4 linked regions of the Drosophila melanogaster genome follow. The protein of the gene in region 1 interacts with the protein of each later gene in a biochemical or structural test. Each region holds a gene or a part of one and is shown in the gene's direction. Other genes may lie near its edges.

Region 1 (6,689 bases):
GTTTCTTGGCTTATTCAAAAAGCAAAGTAAAGCCAAAAAAGCGAGATGGCAATACCAAATGCGGCAAAACGGTAGTGGAAGGAAAGGGGTGCGGGGCAGCGGAAGGAAGGGTGGGGCGGGGCGTGGCGGGGTCTGTGGCTGGGCGCGACGTCACCGACGTTGGAGCCACTCCTTTGACCATGTGTGCGTGTGTGTATTATTCGTGTCTCGCCACTCGCCGGTTGTTTTTTTCTTTTTATGCTGCGCTCTCTCTAGCGCCATCTCGCTTACGCATGCTCAACGCACCGCATGTTGCCGTTTCCTTTTATGCGTCATTTTGGCTCGAAATAGGCAATTATTTAAACAAAGATTAGTCAACGAAAACGCTAAAATAAATAAGTCTACAATATGGTTACTTATTGCCATGTGTGTGCAGCCAACGATAGCAACAAAAGCAACAACACAGGTGGCTTTCCCTCTTTCACTTTTTGTTTGCAAGCCGCGTGCGAGCAAGACGGCACGACCGGCAAACGCAATTACGCTGACAAAGAGCAGACGAAGTTTTGGCGAAAAACATCAAGGCGCCTGATACGAATGCATTTGCAATAACAATTGCGATATTTAATATTGTTTATGAAGCTGTTTGACTTCAAAACACACAAAAAAAAAAATAAAACAAATTATTTGAAAGAGAATTAGGAATCGGACGCTTATCGTTAGGGTAACAACAAGAAATGCTTACTGAGTCACAGCCTCTGGAAAACTGCCGCAAGCCAGAGAGAGAGAGAAAAAGAGGGAGAGCAGCTTAGACCGCATGTGCTTGTGTGTGAGGCGTCTCTCTCTTCGTCTCTGTTGCGCAAACGCATAGACTGCACTGAAAAAATCGATTACCTATTTTTTATGAATGAATATTTGCACTATTACTATTCAAAACTATTAAGATAGCAATCACATTCAATAGCCAAATACTATACCACCTGAGCGATGCAACGAAATGATCAATTTGAGCAAAAATGCTGCATATTTAGGACGGCATCATTATAGAAATGCTTCTTGCTGTGTACTTTTCTCTCGTCTGGCAGCTGTTTCGCCGTTATTGTTAAAACCGGCTTAAGTTAGGTGTGTTTTCTACGACTAGTGAATGCCCTACTAGAAGATGTGTGTTGCACAAAATGTCCCTGGAATAACCAATTTGAAGTGCAGATAGCAGTAAACGTAAGCTAATATGAATATTATTTAACTGTAATGTTTTAATATCGCTGGACATTACTAATAAACCCACTATAAACACATGTACATATGTATGTTTTGGCATACAATGAGTAGTTGGGGAAAAAATGTGTAAAAGCACCGTGACCATCACAGCATAAAGATAACCAGCTGAAGTATCGAATATGAGTAACCCCCAAATTGAATCACATGCCGCAACTGATAGGACCCATGGAAGTACACTCTTCATGGCGATATACAAGACACACACAAGCACGAACACCCAGTTGCGGAGGAAATTCTCCGTAAATGAAAACCCAATCGGCGAACAATTCATACCCATATATGGTAAAAGTTTTGAACGCGACTTGAGAGCGGAGAGCATTGCGGCTGATAAGGTTTTAGCGCTAAGCGGGCTTTATAAAACGGGCTGCGGGACCAGTTTTCATATCACTACCGTTTGAGTTCTTGTGCTGTGTGGATACTCCTCCCGACACAAAGCCGCTCCATCAGCCAGCAGTCGTCTAATCCAGAGACACCAAACCGAAAGACTTAATTTATATTTATTTAATTAATTTTAATAAAACACACCAAATGTAAGTAGCTTTCCCCTTCCCAACAACAAAACACCATCGAACCACTCCCACCAAGAAAAAGCAATAATCGAGAAAAGCCGCGGAAAATGTGTGATTTTTTTTGTAAACAAAACATTTTTTTATGTGCCAGTGCTGAAAGTGATCAAAAAATACTAGCCACGAGCTAAAGAGTTATTGTATTGACCAAAACTCCAAAAATACCCAAGTTTGGCCCTAAATTGTCAATCAAAATACCAATAGGTCGAAAGACATCAAAATTAACAAAACCAGGGTTTCAAATACCATAACTCAAGAATCAGGATTACAACTGCAGATTTCAGGATATATACATACAAATTATACGAAATTATAAAAACCAAAGCAATTCAATAGCCCCAACTCAAATGTTAGGATCTAATATAGTGTTTAAAGCCAAGCTCGCTGATGTGGGCGTGTCACGATTTCACCCAAAGATATGCCAAATTACGAATTGCAAATCAATTCGCCAACACTTTCTTTTTTTCCCACGCCCTAAAACACCAGATCATCCATAAATGTACATACATACAGTATATGCATATTATAATCTGTAAAACTAGATCAGGTTCTTGAAAATAGTGACGTAGGCAGCCGTTTTGGCTGAAGCAGAAATTTTTGCCGGTTTTTCAAAGTTGTAGTTGCAAAAATGGAGAAAACCTTCGAGCATTCGTTCATATACACACACTCACGCGCAAAATAACGAGAGAGAGTGTATGTGTGTGTGAGAGAGCGAAAGCCAGACGACGGTTTGCTTTTCGCCTCGAAACATGACCATATATGGTCACAAAACTTGGCCGCCGCAATTCAACACACCAGCGCTCTCCTTCGCACCCATAGCGACCATGGCGCGGAGCGAGCGAGATGGCGAGAGCGAGCGACGCCTATGGCGACGTCGACGCAGGCAGCGATTGAAAAACGCAGTTAACTGGCATTCAACATTCACCAGCCACTTTCAGTCGGTTTATTCCAGTCATTCCTTTCAAACCGTGCGGTCGCTTAGCTCAGCCTCGCCACTTGCGTTTACAGTAGTTTTCACGCCTTGAATTTGTTAAATCGAACAAAAAGGTAAAGTTTAACTAGCTTTGAAAAGTTTCGTGGCTCTTAATTGTTAAATTTTCTAGAGTGCGTTTAGTGTTTTTTTTTTTTTTTATTTTGTAATGTTAATTTCGGGTTCCAATTCGAGTTTTAGGCAGCCGCCATTTTAAGGGCGCATACACACAGGCAACTGTGCTCTCTTTGCGGCTTTCTTTTGCACCGGCATTCGTTAAGTGTCGTCTAGAAGCTTCTCCCCTCCCTTTTCGGCATATTCGTATTGTGGTTTTAATTTTTCGGGGCGGGGCCTTCTATTTTGTAACTGTTCTTTTAATTTCTTATTACAATTCGATCGCAAGTGAAAATCAGTTTTCAATCGGAAAAGTATTTTTTTATGAAATTTTTTTTGTCCAAGATTAAAATTTTGTACTAAAAAAACGTACATTGCATTGAGTGATTTTTAATTGTACACGAAAAACAAGTTAGTTTGTTATGACAATTGTACTTTGGTAGACCAGCGCAGTCCAAGGAAACCACGCAAATTCTCAGTTTTTTTTTTGCCATTTCTACATTACCAAATAAGGTAACCAAAAACTAATGGGAAATCCGCATTCTTTCCATTGCAGCTTACAAAATGTGTGACGAAGAAGTTGCTGCTCTGGTTGTCGACAACGGCTCTGGCATGTGCAAGGCCGGATTTGCCGGAGACGATGCTCCCCGCGCCGTCTTCCCATCGATTGTGGGACGTCCCCGTCACCAGGGTGTGATGGTCGGCATGGGCCAGAAGGACTCGTACGTGGGTGATGAGGCGCAGAGCAAGCGTGGTATCCTCACCCTGAAGTACCCCATTGAGCACGGTATCGTGACCAACTGGGACGATATGGAGAAGATCTGGCACCACACCTTCTACAATGAGCTGCGTGTGGCACCCGAGGAGCACCCCGTGCTGCTGACCGAGGCCCCGCTGAACCCCAAGGCCAACCGTGAGAAGATGACCCAGATCATGTTCGAGACCTTCAACACACCCGCCATGTATGTGGCCATCCAGGCTGTGCTCTCGCTGTACGCCTCCGGTCGTACCACCGGTATCGTTCTGGACTCCGGCGATGGTGTCTCCCACACCGTGCCCATCTACGAGGGTTATGCCCTTCCCCATGCCATCCTGCGTCTGGATCTGGCTGGTCGCGATTTGACCGACTACCTGATGAAGATCCTGACCGAGCGCGGTTACTCTTTCACCACCACCGCTGAGCGTGAAATCGTCCGTGACATCAAGGAGAAGCTGTGCTATGTTGCCCTCGACTTTGAGCAGGAGATGGCCACCGCTGCCAGCAGCTCCTCGTTGGAGAAGTCCTACGAGCTGCCCGACGGACAGGTGATCACCATCGGCAACGAGCGTTTCCGCTGCCCCGAGGCCCTGTTCCAGCCCTCGTTCTTGGGAATGGAGGCTTGCGGCATCCACGAGACCACCTACAACTCCATCATGAAGTGTGATGTGGATATCCGTAAGGATCTGTATGCCAACACCGTGCTGTCCGGTGGCACCACCATGTACCCTGGCATCGCCGACCGTATGCAGAAGGAGATCACCGCCCTGGCACCGTCGACCATGAAGATCAAGATCATTGCCCCGCCAGAGCGCAAGTACTCTGTCTGGATCGGTGGCTCCATCCTGGCTTCGCTGTCCACCTTCCAGCAGATGTGGATCTCCAAGCAGGAGTACGACGAGTCCGGCCCCTCCATTGTGCACCGCAAGTGCTTCTAAGAAGGATCGCTTGTCTGGGCAAGAGGATCAGGATCGGGATGGTCTTGATTCTGCTGGAGGAGGAGGAGGAGAAGTCGAGGAAGCAGCAGCGAAAGTGCAAGTGCGAGTGGTGGAAGTTTGGAGTGCAGCACAACAAAATCAACAACAACACCAACTACAAGATGAAAAGAGCGGAACCACCTGCACACCATCATCATTATCATCATCGTTTTGGGCGCATGTTGTGTGGTTCCAGCGTATTAATATAATTAATTTATTCCACATGAGATATGATATGATATACTATGTATTTTTTGTTTTTTTTTTATTTGTAAACCTTTAATATAACAAGAACTACAAAAAATGAAAATGAGCGAAAATGCATATTCTGCCATTCCACACACACACCAACAACACCCAACACACGCACACCCACAAGCTTACACACACACATTCGCGGCATGACAAGGACATCAAGATAAAGAAGAACTTAAAGAAGATATTTCCCAAAGCGCAAAAAGAACACACACACATTGCAAAACACAAACAACACACTAGCGTTTTGTACAATTCGTCAGCAACCTTATGTATTATTTTTTAATTATGATGTAATTATAAACAAAGTGAAACAAAAATATGAAAACAAAAAGGAAAATCAAATCTGTCTTCTCTTTCTCCCGCTCTCCTCGCTCTCTGCTGCTAACCTCGCCCTCTCCTCTCTCATCTTTTTGTCTGTCTCTCTTCCACATTTTTGCCGGCCGGCAAAATAATAACCCACACACACTCACACTTGGCTGCAGTTTCGCGTGCGATATTCACACACATTCAAGCATACAAGCATACATACATATGTATTTTTTTTTTATTTGTACACTTTTCTAATTGCATGCGTATCGATTGATAAGTTTACGCCTGAAAATGTTAATTAAAATGTGAAAATGCAACTGAAAAACTGATGAAATGAAACAACAACAAGCGAACAATTTGCTACATGTGTATTGTCTAACAACCGTTACTGCAACGGTTGCTTCGGAAAAGGGTGAAGAGGAAGAGGGCACGAGGTCGACGAACTAAGGCTGCGACGACAAGCGGCTGTCTCGCTCGCACGCACGCACGCATGCGGGCTAATGATGCGATTAAAGTGCCGTTTTAAATGGCCAAGATCCAAATAAAAGTCGAGATAATAAGGCAAACACGCTAACACAAATCGCTGGCATAGTTTCATCCGCCAGTTTGGCCAAAAGCAGCGGCTGCAAGCGCCGTTTATCCGGTTTTTCCCAAACATTTTCCATTCATGCGGCCAAAGAGGAGGAGCACCCATCTTTCCATCTTTCTCTGACTCGCACGGGCAATGCAGTGCACCGGAAAGAAAGTGGTGCGAATTGGGATTTATAGACTTACTTTATAGACTTACACGTACAAATATACATAGATATTATATTATTTAAATACATTTTTATTATATTGCTTATATATTAGTTCGACTTCGATATCATTTCTGCCAGTATAATTATGGGCTCTGCTTGATTTGGCGCTCGGATGCTACGGTAAAAGTTATCTTTCTGTGCTTTCTCCTTTGATTCTTGAGTTTCAACGGTTCCGTTTTTGTTGATCTCGTTCATCTTCTTCTTCTTGCGTTCTAGACGTTCTCCTTTGTTTTTTGTTCACAACGGATTTCGTAGCACCTTGAGCGGTTTAAATATACATACATATGTAATACATACATAAATACATATGTAGTTAGTGTTTTTTTTCGATATTCGTATGCCCAAATGTTCGAATAATTAGTAGGTCTCATTAAAAACATCACAAATTAAGAGTAAAGCAATAAAAATATAGAAATATGTAGTATAAAATAGTATTCTAGGACTAAGATTGGTCATACCTGCGGTTTCTATGTGAATATGATGCGATGTGTTGCTTCCCCACTATCTACAGGGTATCGCACTCTACGCTTACAAAGTATGAGCCTACCAACTGAATATTCAGCGATGTGATCCCTTTTGGCCAAGGGTCAGCAGCGCGATTGGCCGGATTTCAATATTCCCGCCTTGAGTCCGCCGTACTTCGCACAGAAGCACTTGGAGCAGCGACACGTGCGGATTGATATA
Region 2 (7,201 bases), on another chromosome or scaffold:
CATCATCGCAATGCCGCAGTCAAGTTCGGCAAGTAAACTTTGGATATTCAAATGTTCTTTAAGAAACTGTGACAAATGTCGCTGATGTTGCGAACCGCGGGAAAATGGCAAATGCGAAAAAGCTGAAAAGGCCGACCGCCGCCGTTTGAAACTAGTTCAGGTGCCCTACCCCAAGTTGTTGGTAGCAAAAGAGAGAGGGAAGCGGCGACTGCAGTCGATTACGGCAGCGGACCATAAATAAATACAGGTGCTTGTACCGCCTGGCATTGTAGTGCACAGTGAGAAATTCGCTGAAATGCTGTACTGAGATGATTGGTAGTGGTTCAAGGTACGGTAAGATGAGAATTTTTAAATTACTTTGAGATTTGTATACCAAAACATGACGCTCATTTACAATCCAATAATATTTCATGCATCAGAATCGAGTGAGGCTTAAATTTAAGAACTTTTTTCAATAGCTAATATTATGAAACCACATGCTTATTTCTTTCCGTGCACTAAACGTATCGTAATGTGGACGTGGACAGCGAACGCAGGGATTATTGTTAAATGCCACCCACTGAAATCGGAAAAAGAGCCCGATGAATGAACAAATGGACGACACAAATAGCGGCTGGCGAATTGGGCAATGTGTTGCGACTAAAAATACGCGCACTAGAACGGGCTGCCAAGATGAGAGAGACTAGAAGGCGAAGACAAAGAGCTAGTGGTAGACCAAGTTTTTGTAAAGGATTTCCGCTGTTTTGCTGCGTTGGCGCCCACCTCCTCTCTCTCTCCCTCTCTCTCGCTCGCTCTCCTCTCTTATCAATAAACAGAGCCCCTTGGCCCCACTCTATCTATCTCTATCGCACGCACACAAGCAAGCGGAAGCGATAAGTTGCTGCCATATAAATAATGTTGCAATCTAGGATAAGAATTTAGGGGTTCCTTATGTTCCTATTCGCATTCCCACTCCCGATCTCCGAGTGTTATATCACTTACCTTTGGCAATGGTTGCTCTCTCTCGCTCTCTTCCTCTTCGCTTCGCATTTGCTCTTCTCTCCGCACTACGCACTCCTCTTTCTAGTTCCCTTCGTTGTGCGGTAGCAGTCAGCTTATGTGGGGCGCCCACTCACAATTCAACTCATGCGCTCTGCATTTTCTAATTGAATTGTTTGCTCTCAAACTGTACAATCGATGCTGAGTTACTATAGCCGTACGTATGTGTGTGTTTTGGCCCAAGGAAAGGGGTACTGGGTACTGCTTTTCGCCAGCAGCGTCACAAATCAATCCAATCGCTTTTGCTTTCTTCCTACTCACTCGCACTCACGCACCATTGACTTTTTATTTTCACGCACACTGGCACACTCGCGACGGACACACGGATGGGAATCCGGCGTTGCGAATAACGGCAGAATTCGATTTACGGCAATTGTCGTTGGTGGGCGTAGGCAGTCAATGTTTTAACTTAACACTGGGCTTCACGCTGATGCAAACACACTCTGACAGCACAATATTTTTAAGTTTTCGGTTCCCAGCAGCCATGTTAGCGCGATGGAGTCGCATTTATATGTGCGGCCTGACTATCGTGGTGCATCGGTTTTTAGGCGGCGCGAGCGGGACGCCAATACAGCACCACCGCCACTGTGACCAGATGGCATTATTGAATTTAACAGCAATTTTCACATAATAGCTTGTTCCCACTGAGATGTAAAGCTAACTGACACGTTAGCTAGCTATAACTTTTTCGAAGTCTATATAATTCTCTTAACAGCCAATATGTTTTCTTGTTATTTAATATATGGCTTCCACCAACCAATAGGTTTATATATTAACCTAACCTAAGATTAAAATAATGATAACTTTCAGTGGAGATAGCTGAAATATCGATAACGACTGTCACAACAACATCGATTTAAATACCATCTCTATTTTATCAACGCAGCGTTTATTGGCTTTTTGGCGTGGAAAAGTGAAAAGATAATTGACAAAAAGTCCACAAAAGTGCCGCAACATGAACACACTGGGTCCTAAGAAGGACGGAAGTCCGAATATAGACTTTTTCCAGTCGCCGGAGACGCTGCAGGGCTTTGAATCGATTCGCCAGTGGCTGCAGAAGAACTGCAAGAAGGTGCGTGCCAACAACAACGCCGCCGCAAACAAAAATGGCGCTGTCAGGCGGCGAAAAAAAAACGATTTACTCACAACCGTATTTATTGCAGTATTTGGCCCACAGTTCGGAGCCCATCACGAAGGAGTCCTTGGCCCAATTGCTCATTCACTTCCTGCAGTATGTGGAAGCCAAGCTGGGCAAGAACTCAGCGGATCCGCCGGCAACCAGAATTCCGGTTAGTATTGATAGTGCCTGTGGTTGGTGAGGGGGACAGGGTGCCCCGTGTTGCGTGTGTACACGTAAATATTAATCCTCCAATGGCCAAATGTTTGGACCACTAGCTTATATTTTGTATTTAGCTACATGATTTACGTACATTAAAACATATCTCTAATAATCGTACCACCCACACCAGATGCGTTGCTTTCTGGACTTCAAGAGCGGCGGTGGTCTGTGCATCATTTTCTCGACCATGTTCCGTTTCCGGGCCGAGCAACGCGGCAAGAAGTTCGACTTCTCCATTGGCAAGAATCCCACGCGCAAGGATCCCAACATCCAGCTGCTGATCGAGATTGAGCAGGCGTTGGTCGAGGCGGACTTGTATCGCATACCGTACATCTATATTCGGCCGGAGATTGAAAAGGGCTTCGAGGGAAAACTGCGCGAGATCCTGGACAATCGACGGGTAGAGATTGTGTCGGACGAGGAGGACGCCACCCATATCGTCTATCCTGTGGTGGACCCACATCCCGACGAGTATGCGCGGCCCATTTTCAAGCGCGGCGGACATGTGATGCTGCATTGGTACTACTTCCCCGAGTCCTACGATTCTTGGGCTGTGAATAACTTTGACCTGCCCGATCACATTCCGGAGAATCCCGAGTCACCGGCGGAACGTTGGCGTGTGTCTGCATCCTGGATCGTGGACCTGGAGCAGTACAATGAGTGGATGGCCGAGGAGGACTACGAGGTTGACGAACAGGGCAAGAAGAAGACGCACAAACAGCGTATGTCCATAGACGACATCATGTCATTCGGCGACGAGAAGAAGAAGCCTGCTGCCAGCTCGGGCGGAGGCAAGCAGAAGAGACGCCGTTCACCATCTCCCGCCAGTTCGGCATCCACCTCAAAGCCGGGCAAGCGTAAGCGTTCTCCCGCCGTGGTGCACAAAAAGTCGCGCAACGACGATGATGACGAGGACTTAACTCGCGATCTGGATGATCCGCCGGCCGAGCCCAATGTTCAGGAGGTTCATAAGGCAAATGCCGCCTTGCAGTCCACCGCCAGTCCAGCTCCGGGCGGTAAATCTCGTGGCGACAACGACATGATGCCCATTAAAGGTAAGTTTTGTTATCTTATATCTGCATTGACTAAACAAACTGATATCTAGGTGGCACTATGACCGATCTGGATGACGAAATGACTGGAGGAAGCGCCGCTCAAGCCATGTCTACCGGAGATGGGGAAAACTCGCAGACAGGCAAGACAAGTGATAACAGCAACACGCAGGAATTCTCTTCATCGGCCAAAGAGGATATGGAGGACAATGTGACCGAGCAGACGCACCACATTATCGTGCCTTCGTACTCGGCTTGGTTTGATTACAACTCCATTCATGTGATCGAGAAACGGGCCATGCCGGAATTCTTTAACAGCAAGAATAAGTCAAAGACACCAGAAATCTATATGGCCTACAGGAATTTTATGATTGATACGTACAGGTAAGTTGAAGCTCCATTTTTTTTGCAGCAAATAGTTTTGAATATGTTACTCATCTATTTCAGGCTCAATCCGACGGAGTATTTGACCAGCACAGCTTGTAGGCGTAATCTTGCCGGAGATGTGTGCGCCATAATGCGAGTACACGCCTTCTTGGAGCAATGGGGCCTGATTAACTACCAGATCGATGCGGATGTCCGCCCCACCCCTATGGGTCCACCACCAACCTCACACTTTCACATTCTTTCGGATACGCCATCAGGTCTACAGTCCATAAATCCGCAAAAGACGCAACAGCCGTCGGCGGCAAAGACGCTGTTGGATCTGGACAAAAAGCCATTGGGTAAAGATGGCGGCCTGGAGTTGGGCGATAAAAGTGGTCTGACTGGCATCAAGACAGAGGCTCTAGAGAATGGCGCTGCCGGAGGATTAAGTTCCGGAGTGAGCCAGTTTGGACTCAAGCTGGATCAGTACGCAAAGAAGCCGGCGGCCATGAGGAATCGAACGGCGGCAAGCATGGCTCGTGAATGGACCGATCAGGAGACTCTGCTGTTGCTTGAGGGCTTGGAAATGCACAAGGACGACTGGAACAAGGTCTGCGAGCACGTTGGATCTCGCACTCAAGACGAGTGCATTCTGCATTTCCTTCGACTTCCCATCGAGGACCCGTATCTAGAGGATGATGGTGGCTTCCTGGGCCCCTTGGCCTGCCAACCCATTCCGTTCAGCAAGAGTGGCAATCCCATTATGTCCACCGTCGCATTCCTGGCATCTGTGGTCGATCCTCGCGTTGCCGCTGCAGCAGCAAAGGCTGCCATGGAGGAATTTGCAGCCATTAAGGTAGTTACATTTTAGTCACGTTTAAACCATGATTTTAACATCCAATGTAAAACTTATGCTAGGATGAGGTGCCCGCTACAATAATGGACAACCACCTGAAAAACGTGGAGAAGGCTTCGGCAGGTGGTAAATTTAATCCGAACTTTGGGCTGGCCAATAGTGGAATCGCAGGAACCGGAAACGACAAGGACGATGAAGAGGGCAAGGAGGGTGGCGCATCTGCATCCGCTGGCGGCTCTGATGAGGAAATGAAGGACCTAAGCAAAAAAGACGGTAAGCCAAAGCCATTAGAGATCGGTAAAGGGGGTTTATGGATGTTGGTTAAGGGAAAAGTCGCTAAGTCGAGCGAGTTTTCTTTTAATCGATTTTAAAGGGAATTTACTCAATTGTTGGTTCTGCATTTGTTTGTCTTGTTGAACTCTTGTGTTGCTTTCATTCAAAATTCGCAATTTGTTCACCATTTGGCACTGTATTCGTATATTGTTTCGTTTTTGTGTTGCGCCCAATCTACCAAACTTACATCAACACCACAACCATCAAATAACAAACAACAACCACAGACGATGCCAAGTCCAAAGACAATACAAAATCGGATAAGACCAACACAAACACAGACTCGAGTTCCACATCATCATCAGCGACAGGCAACACCAACAACACTGACAAGAAACCAAAGGAGTCGTCCGGCTCCTCGCCTTCGGGCGATAAGTCAGCCATCAAGTCAGACAAATCAAACAAATCCTCACCCACAGAAACCGCAGCAGCCGCAAGTGGTGGCGAAGTGGACATCAAGACGGAGGACAGCAGTGGCGATGGCGAAACTAAGGACGGCACTGAGGCCAAAGAGGGAACGGGAACCGGAACAGGGCCATTGGCGGTGCCAAAGGAAGGAACATTTAGCGAAAATAACATGCAGACTGCGGCGGCGGCAGCTTTGGCATCGGCAGCAGTTAAAGCCAAACACCTGGCTGCCCTGGAGGAGCGTAAGATCAAATCCCTGGTGGCTCTCCTTGTTGAGACTCAGATGAAGAAGCTGGAGATCAAATTGCGCCACTTTGAGGAACTGGAGGCCACCATGGAGCGAGAGCGCGAGGGATTGGAGTACCAGCGTCAGCAGCTGATCACAGAGCGTCAGCAATTCCACCTGGAGCAGCTAAAGGCAGCCGAGTTCCGAGCGCGCCAACAAGCACATCATCGTCTTCAGCAAGAGCTCCAAGGCCAGGCGGCCGCGGGATCAATGATCTTGCCGCAGCAACAGCAGCTACCACAGGCCCAGCAGCCGCAGCAGCAACAGCAAACGCTGCCACCTCATCCGCACCTGGCGCAGCAGCAACAGCTGCCTCCGCATCCGCACCAGTTGCCGCCGCAGTCCCAACCGCTAGCGGGTCCCACCGCCCAGCACCAGCCGTTGCCCCCGCACGTAGTGTCGTCGCCCAACGGTGCTCCCTTTGCAGCGCCACCGATTTCGCTCACGGGAGGACTCCCGCCGGGCGCACCCACGGCCATTGTCACGAATCCGAGCGACCAAACCGGACCAGTCGCAGCGGGAGCAGCGCAATCTCAAGCACCTACACCCATGGGTAAGAACTTTAACGGATAACAATTCATAAACTATAATACTTAGACATCCAACTCCCGCCATAGATACTACACCACCAAGCAGCGGTCCAGTGTCAGATGCCAACGCACCGCCGGGATCGGCAATGCCACCAGGGGGAATTCCTCCGGCGAACACTGCTCCCATCGCCGGCGTAGCTCCCTCTTCTTAACTCTTACTCATAAGCCAGGAAACGTTAAAGTAAATAGCTCTAAGTCGTACGCTCTCAGTATGTATTATGTATACTCCACTTTAAGCCCAACTCTTGTGTGTAATCTGAAGGAGATGCACTACACATTGACGCGTCTCCAGTTTTGTGTAAGTTTCATTTCGTGTCCGGTCGCGTTTACAAGCAATTGCACAAATATTTTGAACCAAGTTTCAAAGCCGAAAAATAGGCATTCAATAAAAATTTATTTAAACTACGAGTGGCAGTTATTCCTTTATTTTTACAAAAGCAAAAGCTTTTAACTTACTTGAACAAGTTAATAAAATATCTATAATTTAAACATTATTTAATTACCATTTTTGAGTTTAAGAAATATACTAAGCTAGCTGCGTAAAATGCAGCCAAGTATTTAAGCCTTTTTTGATTGGTTATTAGATCACTGAAAGCTGGCGACGCCGCAGGATGTTTGGTCGCTTGATCTCTCTCATCAAGTCGTTACTCGAAGCAGCACGCTTTACGTTGGGCGAGCTTTGCAAGGAAAGTGGTGATGCGGCGGGAGATGAAGGTGGATGACTGGAGCAGGAGCCACTTTGGCATACCCTGGGAGGGGGCGGTGAAGATATGCTGATGTTGGCTCTCATGCTCAATTCGTTGGAAGTTGTTTCCGTCAGAATACCAACGTTACTCTGTGATTCTTCCAGTGACTTGCGTGTTTGCGCACACTCCAGGTGGCGGCCATAGTTGCCCATACTTTGGACATACACACTGTTGTAGAAAGTGATAA
Region 3 (4,812 bases), on another chromosome or scaffold:
GGTCTTCCTCATTAGTTGCCGTCTTCAGTAGTTCGATGTTGAGCCTCCGGGCGCTGAGCAACTTAATCCGGCGGCCACCCCTCTTCTTTTTAGGTGGCTGCTCCCTCGCTGCAGTCCGTGCCTTGTACTCTTGTATGGTCAAGGGCTTTGGTCCCGCGGACGGATCTACCTCTATTACCTCTTTGATACTTGGCAGATCCCTTTGCTCGACAGGAGCAGGGTGTTCGAACGTCTGCTTGGTAGACATTCGCTGTTGTCATGTGCGGCGCGCCGGTGGAATCCTTTATCCTTTATCCTAATCCTACCCTCGCAGGATGCCGTGCTAATTGCTGTTGCGGCTTACAATGGTCGAGGGCAGTCGTTCATGCAGACGTCGGGTCTTTTCGGCTTGGGTGATGTTGAATTTTCAGTTATTTCTTCATTGATTATTTCTATTTTTGCTGAGTGAGTTGTGGTATTCGGCTTTCTTTGCTGGAGGTTTTCTTTCAGAAAGTCTAATTCGGCAGTTAATTTCGGTGCCGTTGCCCATGGGGGCGGTGTTTTATTTGTATATCATAGCCACTTAATATGTGCTATACCTTTATTTTTGATTTCCTGACATCCGCGTTTGCCCATTACCACACTCTACTCACTCAGTATTTTTGTTTCTTTTTTTTTTCATCAGTGTCCCGTCTCTAGGTCTCCCGCACTGGTGTAAGGGGCGGCCTGCCTCTCACACCTGTTGTCGCTGTTTAGAATTCCCAAATCAAATCGGCAATATTAGCAGCATTTCCTCAGTAGTCCTCAGATCGCAGGCTCCTGCCTCACGGTCGCCATGTAATAAACCAATATATGCCACCAATTGAGAACACGTGTTTTCCTTGCAGTTGGGTGCAGCCGTCAGGCCACCTTTTTATTTCTTCTTATCTCTTCGAGTAGCAGAAACGGTTCTGCCCGCTTAACCTCTACAGAGTGTCTAATCTTACCTAAATACTGCGACTGCGCCGCCGTCGACAGCGGCAGAAGAGCAGCGTATATATATATGTATAAGAGAGAGAGAGAGAGAGCTTATGCGCATATATGGCCAGCGGCCAGCGTGGGGATGCTGACTTAGCTTAAAGCATAAATGGGTGATCTTATATCACGCTCACTTGAGACATTTATTTATGCAATGCAACTAAGTGTTGCTGTGTACTTATAGGTACAGTGTACCCTCGATATATGCACATACTACAATATATTCTTGTAATCAATGTTTATATTATGTAAATCAGCTGTCGCTCCCCAAAAATTCCTTAATTCCAATTAGAAGACAACGAAAAAATTTCTCTTTATTTACGAATAAAAATTGTCCCTCAACTCCAATTGGAACGGCTGATCCGTCAACATTTTAGTCGGCAACACTTTAGTCTGCAACATTTGGGAATGTTGCATCATCTTGTTGCTATGCATGTTTCCACGGAAAAAGAGAGTATATCATAACAAGAGACCATTCACTTTTTTCGTTTTGAAGCAACAAATTTGAAAAGAGAAAACTTTATGTTTTTCCCGCGGGCTTGTTTGTTTTTTTTTTCTCGCTCTCCGTCGAATTGACTCTACATTTTGATGTGATCTTATTATTAGGTGAATCAGCTGTCTTCAAAAGAACAGTTTTAATTAAAAAAAAAATCCCTCAATTCCAATTCAAATTTCATTTAGAACACAACGAAGATATTTCTCTTCTTGTACGAACAAAATGCTCTCTTAACTCAAGTTGGAACGGCCGTTCCGGCAACATTTAAGTTGGTAACATTGTTGCATGCTGCATGCATTTGAGCACAAGAGTGTCATTTACGATTAGCAACTCGCGGCGAACGGACGTGTGTAAAAAATAGCCGGTGAGAAAAAACGAAGTGCGATTGCCGAAGAAAAACAGAGAGATTTCAAATAATAAAGAAATGCAAATGAAACAGAAGAAAATAAAAATAAAGCAAAGTGCGTGATTTCCATCTCCTCAGTGTTGTGAAATTTCTAGCAGAGTCTAACGGCGATTTGCGAATGCCGACTTAAGAAGTGCGAAAACAAAAACGTGACGCCAGTTTAAAATATTCTCAAGCGAAAATCATGTGTTTTTTGTTATACCCTGTGCTTTGTGTTTAATGTAGCTGACGACAAACAAAATATTAGAATCGTGTACGTCGGGAATCCGAATTCCATCCCCTCGTGTTGTGTTATTATTGTATTAAAGTTTCCTTTGCCATTTACCACACACAACACAGAAAAACAACAACAACAAAACTAAACCAAAATCGAACCAAAAACAAACCGCGAATTTTGCAGGTTAGCCCACCCGAAAGAGGCAAAAAAATCAATTATATGTTGGCCAGTGCCGGGTTTGCAGTGGAATCGGGTTGAAAGCCATCGATAGCCACACACGCCCACACACATAATGACGGAGCACCAGGCCGAGGAGCAGGCGGACACGCCGCCCACCAAGGTCAAGGCCACGCCCACACCCACCCCGAGTGGAAAGTTCAAGGACGCGAAGGAAGACGCCTTCCTGTCCACATCGCCGGACAGCGCCAACGGCGATGCCCAACACAAGCTGCCAGCGGACCAGCTGGCCATGTCCTCCAGTGCGCATCCCCAGCAGGCGGGCCAAGCCCGCCCGCTCATCCTGCAAGCCTTCCACCGCTGCTCCTCGCCAGAACAGTGCGTCACGCTGCACGACATCCTGGACTCCTTTAAGGCGCCGCTCTCCGAGGACCAGGCCTGGGCCCTGATCCACCAGTTCGCCGGGCTCTACCACCAGGTGGCCGTACAAGCGCACACCTGTGCCGCGGACTACGAGGCCGCCCTGCCCACCGGATTCGAGCTGCACTTCCATCGCGACGGCAGCGTCCACTTCTCCGGCCCGGATCAGCTGACGCCTAAGGAGCAACTGCAGCAGGAGCAGATCCCCCTCCCCCCGCAGCACGACGTGATTGTGGATCAGCCGGACCACAGCGCCAGCAGCAGCGGCGACAGCAGCGTCATCAACAGAGGTAAGCAGACCGACCTACTGAAAAATCAATATGCATACATATTTCTCACGGCTACAGTTAGCGGAAATTAATATTCCTGCAGTTTATGCCAGTTGTTTAATTAACGGAAATTAACTTAGTATGAATCTTCTATTCCTTGAATTTTTAATTTATTATTTTTTAAATCATGCTGAAAATATTTGAACTAAAATTGATCTATAGTCATAGTTATTAATGTTATAACATTTATTTATTAACGTGCTGCACACAACTGGCAATCTTTAGAATCTATATAGAAGTGGAAATGTTCAATACAACATTGATCAACTAACAATTTGGATTGATAACCTAATGAACCTGCCAACCCCAAATGACATTTTAATGTCGTTTTTCCTTACAATTATAGTAACATGTTTTAATCACAAATAATTTATTGTACATTGCACGCAAATGCAATTTGACTACCTTTAAGCTAGCAACCCGTGTATATTCTTTCGACTTTGTGTTAAGTTCTGTATCCTTTGAGCAATATTTCCTATTATTTTTTATGAGTCTTCCTAAAGATATATATATAGTTTATGTGTATTTCGGCCCGTCAGAGGTCAGTTGGGTGTTGACTTCAGATGCGGAACTGTAACAGTGATGAAAACTGGGGCTGTGATTAGCTGGGCCGGAAAACCGGTTGCGCTGATGCCTCTCCGAATGCTGAGGGGTCTTTGTCTTTTCGGCAAACGCTTTCATTTTCAGTTAATAAGCCACAGTTAACTTCTTTCTCTCGGCCTTTTATTTTCGGACATCTGCCGTGATGTGGGTTTCCGTGTGCCATCCATCTGACTATTGGCATCGCCCGGCCATCGCCAGCGGAGTCCCCAGCGCTTTCCAAACAAACAACCCACACTATCCGCCATCCGATGATGACCTCTGCATTTAAGTTATGCAGCCAGCCAGCTTTGATTGGGGTTTTCCCCACTTCTGCCTTCTGTCTGATTGCGTGCTGGCTTGGGAAAGTGTAAACGGCGACTCCCATGAAGAAGGTACCATCCCAGTACCCTATCAGCAGTGTTTTTCACTTTCTTTTGTAGCTCGGAGAGCACAAGTATCACTGGAAGAAAGGCAGGTCATGTTCGGATTGGGCAGAAGATTGAACGCTTTTCCTTGCCGCAATACAATCGAATCCAAATCTACGAAAGTAGATTTTTTCCAGTGTAACGATCACAGCCTTTCCTTTCGGCATTCCCCCTGCATTCGCTGTAATTGATGGGGGGATACTTTTTCGCCTCTCGATCTCTGAATCTACAGAACGTGTCTGAGTCTGTCTCGCAGCTAATTGTTTAATCATTCGTCTGCGCGGGGACTGTCAAAATACAGGTCGGTAATCTATCGACTTTTAGATAAGCCACGTTAATTGGAAAATGCGTTTCTGAGTGGGTAGTGATGGGAATCTTGGATTTCGTTCTCCTAGGTGGCCCTTAATGTGACTCAGCTCAGCTTTTGGTCTGCAGCATTAACTGCATTCCATTGCATCTTTCTTCGTATGGGCCTGTCTATCTCTATTTGGCCAGGCCAACTCTGCCTATAGCCGGCTTTTGTATCAGCGTGGCCAATTAGTTAGCTCTTATAGACAATTAGCCAGTTACATGGGTAATCTTAAGGGCACGCAGATACAGGAAGTTACAGTATTAATTGAACTGTGTAACTCGGAGGTGAAGGAACTATAGATGGCTGATAATGCTGTAGGAAGTCCTAGGGGATTTTAAAACCCATTTCAGTATACTACTTAAAATTCAGAAATTTTCTTTTATAAATAACTTAAAAAATGTTCTTAGCTCTT
Region 4 (4,567 bases), on another chromosome or scaffold:
TTTTCACGCTGTTATCACTGGAGGAGCTGGCAAAGTGTTTGCCGTCCTCGGAGAATGCCACGCACAGCACCCAAGATGCGTGCCCAGATAGGGTGCCCACAACGTCGGAGTGGGTTCTAAAACGAGGAGATAGTAGTGCCTGAAAATGTCATAGGTGTTAAGCCACTTACACATCATAAAGCTTCATGTGACCATCATCTGAGGCAGTGAGCAGCAGCTGCGAGTTCGGAGAAAAGCAAAGGCTACGCACTGGCATCGCGTGTCCTTCCAATGTTTGCACTACCTTGCCCGCGGCCACATCGAAAATGGTAATGATACCATCGATGGCTCCACTGGCAATGTACTTGCCATCGGGACTCTAGAATAATACAGCTATAGGATTCTCAAAATGGGTTATTTACCAGATAAAGCTTACGTAGGCAATGCTAAGCGTGTATTTCCCATTTTGGGCATCCAATGTCTGCTCTGCCTTTCCGGTTTCCACACTGTACATGGAGATTTTGCCGTCGTTCAGTCCGGATATCACATATTTGTTGCAGGGTGAAAATTGCACCGTCCAGAGATCAACAGGCCCAAAGCTAAGTAGGTGTTTCTTGTCGCCCGAACGGGCATCCCACAAACACATGGTGGAGTCCAGAGAACTACTGGCAATGGCTGGAAGGAAGGCGGCACCATTAATTGATGTCCATTTCTCTATCTCCCAAGTACAGAATCTTTCAACCTACTCTGTCCATCGGAACTGACGGCCACAGAAACAACTCCCAGGGCATGTCCTTTTAGTTTGTGGCGCAACTTTAGGGTGTTGTCCTCCTGCAAGTCCCACACCTTTACCAAGTCATCCAGTCCGCCGGTGACCAAGAAATCCTTCGGGCGGGCCTCCTTCTTATCGAAATCAAAGGGATTCTCCTCGGGCTCCACGACCGCGTCATCCGGATCTGAGGCCGCAGTGTCGCGTCCCCAGGTGCACGCCCATAGCTGACTGTCGTGCGCATTTTCCTCTTTATGAAGGACAGAAAACTAGCGGAAAAAAGGGATGTATAAAAGGCACAGTTCGTTAAATATCTACTTACCATTTTAAAATGCCGGAAAAGTGTTTATTTTATGCGAACGAGAGCGATCAGCAAATTAGCTGTTATCGATAACAATGGTTGACGTTAGAATTAGTATTGAAAAGGGAGGTTTACAGTGGGTCAAAACTGTTATGCTGAATATGTTTCAATGTGAATAAATTAAACATGGAATTCTTTATATAAATGAAAGAAATAAAGAAGTATAAAACAAATTGACGTTTTTAAAATTTTTTCACAGGTAATATTATATATAACAAAATAATATTTTACTTTATTATATCTTTATTATACTTATTTAGGTAAAAAGCTTAGTTTTTAAGTAAACATGTTATATATTAAATTATTTGAATTGCTATTTATTGTTTTGGTATATTTGCCCATATGGCACACGGCATAATACCACTTTCCCGCCATGGTCACACCATCGGCTTATAGTTGCACTCCCGGCGCGGCCACACTGTTTATAGCCGTCGAGAACCGAGGAACGAACGTCGCGTTTTAAAAAACAAATCCCCAAACGACTCGGACGCGAGATCCAAGCGACTGGCGAGGAAAAGTGTAAGTGACGGGTGCAATTACGTGCCCCACGGTGCAGCCATGCCCGGATCTACCAGTGCGGTTATATAATGCGGATATAGTTATAGTTCTTAGCCCCTCGCGATACGATATCAAAAACAAAGGAACGAATAGGACCAACGCGTGTGTTCTGCTTTTCAGTTTTCGGTTCGTTTTCGATTTTTTTTCATTTTGCTGTCGTCGCCGCCGTGAATTCGAATATGTATGATTTTCTTCTATGGATCCGCGTGTCTGGAATATATTAATAAACATAAACAGTGAAGCCTCGTTCGTTCGTGTGTGTGGGGGCGGGTGTGCGTGAGCGTGAGTGCGAGTGTGTGTGTGGTTGTGCATCAGCATATTATTTATCTCACATATCATATCTTTCGACAAAATCGAAAAGATTCGAATGATTCATTCTTGTGGCAGCAGGACTCGCCGATTTGTGCACTAAACCGAAATGAAAGGCATATAGTTTTGCTGCACTTTCCATGTGTTTTTCGTGGTGTGTTTGTTTTATTGATTCCCACTTTCCCGTTCCCCGTTCTCCGTTTTCCGCCCAGTTTCCACTTCTTCCCCTCCGTACAACATTCATATTCGCGCCTGCCCCCACAACTTCGTTTCCGATTTGGTGTAAACAATAACGGCAACCGGTTTTCGCGTGCAACTTTATCTCCCTAATATCGCCATTCCTCTTATTCTTCTTCTCTTCCTCTGCTCACTTTTGTTTCGATTATAATCGCAATTTGCCGTTTTCAAAATGATATATGCAAACCCTTTCGAATAAATCAAACAGTTCCAACTGAATTTGTAAATTATCAAGGTGAGTCGCCAGCCGGGGATCAATAATGCTATATTATAAGATGAAGTGGAAGATTTGCATGTTTATGTAATCTTATCGGTATTTTATGTTAATTTTCTCACACATGTTGGGATTCATATATCTTAAGAGAGGTGTATTCATTTCATAAAACATTCTTTACTTGAGATTTGGTATATGAAAGTTAGTTATTCGTTTATTTTAACAATACTACAGGCAAACGATGTCTTCTAGGGTATGAAATGGTCCTATAGAAAGAAAGGTAGTTAGGTAGTAGTAGTGACGCTTAAAGATCCGTAAAGTTAAATGACTCTAAATCCCACAGCTTTGCTCCACTTCCATTCGTAATTCCAAAGCAAACCCATCACGGTTGCTCTTAGCCTTCGCACTAATGTGACTGGAGGATAAGAATAAATGTTTGCCCTTAAGAGGTGCTCAAAAGGCGTCAAAAAAAAAAAAAATAATAATAAGAATGGAAAAACTAGACCATAAACATAAATGCATTTCACAGCTGCCATTAGTGCACAACTTTTCACAATCGGCGAGAAAAACCAGCGCAAAAACCAAGTACGACAAAATGGAAATCCAGGGCATGCAAAAAGAAAATGAAACAGTGGCAAACTGCGGAAAAAGCCAAAGCCCAGGCGCAATGCACTCGGAAAATGGATGGAAAACCAACAAAGTTATTAGTTGAGGTGGGAATACCGCGGTTCCAAGATCGCGGGGAAATGCGAAGTCAAGTGTGGAAAAGCGCTCGCTGGGAAAAGCGTGACATAGTCAAAAGCAATGGGGGCGAAATTGGAGCAATTTGAGTCTGTGCAATGTGACATCATTGTAAGGGGCGTGACGGAGGGCGTGGCAGCAGCCGACAATGACAAGTGCCGAAGTTTTCCAAAAACAAAAGAAAGTCAAACAAGAAAGCAGGGAACATTATTGTCAAGTAAGCGAAAAGATTTGACATATTAGCCATGACATTATTTTAAAGAAATTCAGTAAATTACATGAAATATCTATCAAAGTAGATAATCAAATGATTGTTTTGAGATTATATACAGTGCTTAGTACATGAAGATAAAATAAGAATAAAATGATATATAGTGCTATTTGTAAACCCATTGTACGGGTTGAACTCTATGGAAATTACCAAGAGAGTCGCAATCACGAACATCCTCTGATAAGAATATAGCTGGAATAATCGCCATTCGTTGAACCCCCCAGTCACAAGAGCAATATATAGGAGCATTGACTTTTAAGATCGCGTTCTGATGTCGGTGCAATTTTCTTTACACCAATCAAGGCAGCCCAGAAAATGAAAATGTGATGGCGTCAAGTCATGACATTGCACTGGCAAAAGCACAAGAACAATGGGAAAGTACTCACCATTTGGATTCCAGTGGAAGAGCCAAACTTTTTGCTTGACTGAATAAATATTTCTGGTCCGATCTTTGGCATGGCCAAAAGTGTATTTAAATCCAGAGATAAGATAATAGGTGGAGCATTGCTATTTATAATAATCAACGCTGGGCTCTTTTATCACTTTCGAAGGTTGGAATGTTATTTTAAGCCTCAGCCTCGAGAAAAACACCTAATTTGGGCCCTAATTGGGGCCTCGTTTTTGTTGTTTTTTTTTTTCCCCCTTTTACTAAATATGTGGGATCAGAAAAATATAAATAATATGTATCTGTGTGCTAAATTTATTTAAATATTCTGCAATTAGCCAATCTATCATGAACTTAAAGTAAGGAATAGTTCCAATTAGAAAGTATAGATTACTTTCACATATTTTAACTGCTGTCACTCCTGTAAAACACTCCCATTTTTGTGCCCCCTTAAACCTTTGACTTTTGTTTGTGGAATGCCATAAAGTGCACTCTTTATGACCGCAATGCGTTTGCAACTGCAAGTGGAAGGCAGGGTCTTCGGTTCCTCATTTTGAGAAGCACTTGAAAAGCCATTAAACATTGCTCCAAACCCGACTCGAGTAGAATCCCCGTATCTGCCTTTCTTCCCCCAATTAACCCATAAATGGGAAATTGATATCGTTCAATGTTTTGCGTTGTGACAGTGATAAAATATCAGCCGAATTAGATAAACTTACGGTCAAGGACAAGTATCTTTTACA

Evidence for each region.
Region 2: the proteins of Act5C (region 1) and mor interact in far-western blotting, tested with the Drosophila melanogaster proteins (one study listed by BioGRID).
Region 3: the proteins of Act5C (region 1) and spir are reported together in a solved structure, tested with the Drosophila melanogaster proteins (2 studies listed by BioGRID, with this or other methods).
Region 4: of the proteins of Act5C (region 1) and Mical, one has a biochemical effect on the other in vitro, tested with the Drosophila melanogaster proteins (2 studies listed by BioGRID).

The regions. Positions count from the first base shown.
Region 1 is NC_004354.4:5,899,230-5,905,918, forward strand, and holds Act5C (actin 5C), read left to right. Parts: upstream 1-1,631; 5' UTR 1,632-1,784; intron 1,785-2,752; exon of another isoform or gene 2,753-2,867; intron 2,868-3,460; 5' UTR 3,461-3,468; coding exon 3,469-4,599; 3' UTR 4,600-6,170; downstream 6,171-6,689. UniProt on the Drosophila melanogaster protein: Actins are highly conserved proteins that are involved in various types of cell motility and are ubiquitously expressed in all eukaryotic cells.
Region 2 is NT_033777.3:15,967,605-15,974,805, reverse strand, and holds mor (moira), read left to right. Parts: upstream 1-1,892; 5' UTR 1,893-1,993; coding exon 1,994-2,110; intron 2,111-2,201; coding exon 2,202-2,327; intron 2,328-2,507; coding exon 2,508-3,432; intron 3,433-3,482; coding exon 3,483-3,813; intron 3,814-3,876; coding exon 3,877-4,651; intron 4,652-4,713; coding exon 4,714-4,924; intron 4,925-5,211; coding exon 5,212-6,231; intron 6,232-6,295; coding exon 6,296-6,420; 3' UTR 6,421-6,672; downstream 6,673-7,201. Other genes in the region: Rbf2 (Retinoblastoma-family protein 2), read right to left, coding at 6,849-7,201.
Region 3 is NT_033779.5:20,309,413-20,314,224, forward strand, and holds the start of spir (spire), read left to right. Parts: upstream 1-1,806; 5' UTR 1,807-2,407; coding exon 2,408-3,002; intron 3,003-4,812.
Region 4 is NT_033777.3:10,039,853-10,044,419, reverse strand, and holds the start of Mical (molecule interacting with CasL), read left to right. Parts: upstream 1-1,524; 5' UTR 1,525-1,628; intron 1,629-2,421; exon of another isoform or gene 2,422-2,448; intron 2,449-4,567. Other genes in the region: CG3909 (uncharacterized protein), read right to left, coding at 1-116, 171-358, 416-654, 726-1,017, 1,071-1,073. UniProt on the Drosophila melanogaster protein: Monooxygenase that promotes depolymerization of F-actin by mediating oxidation of specific methionine residues on actin.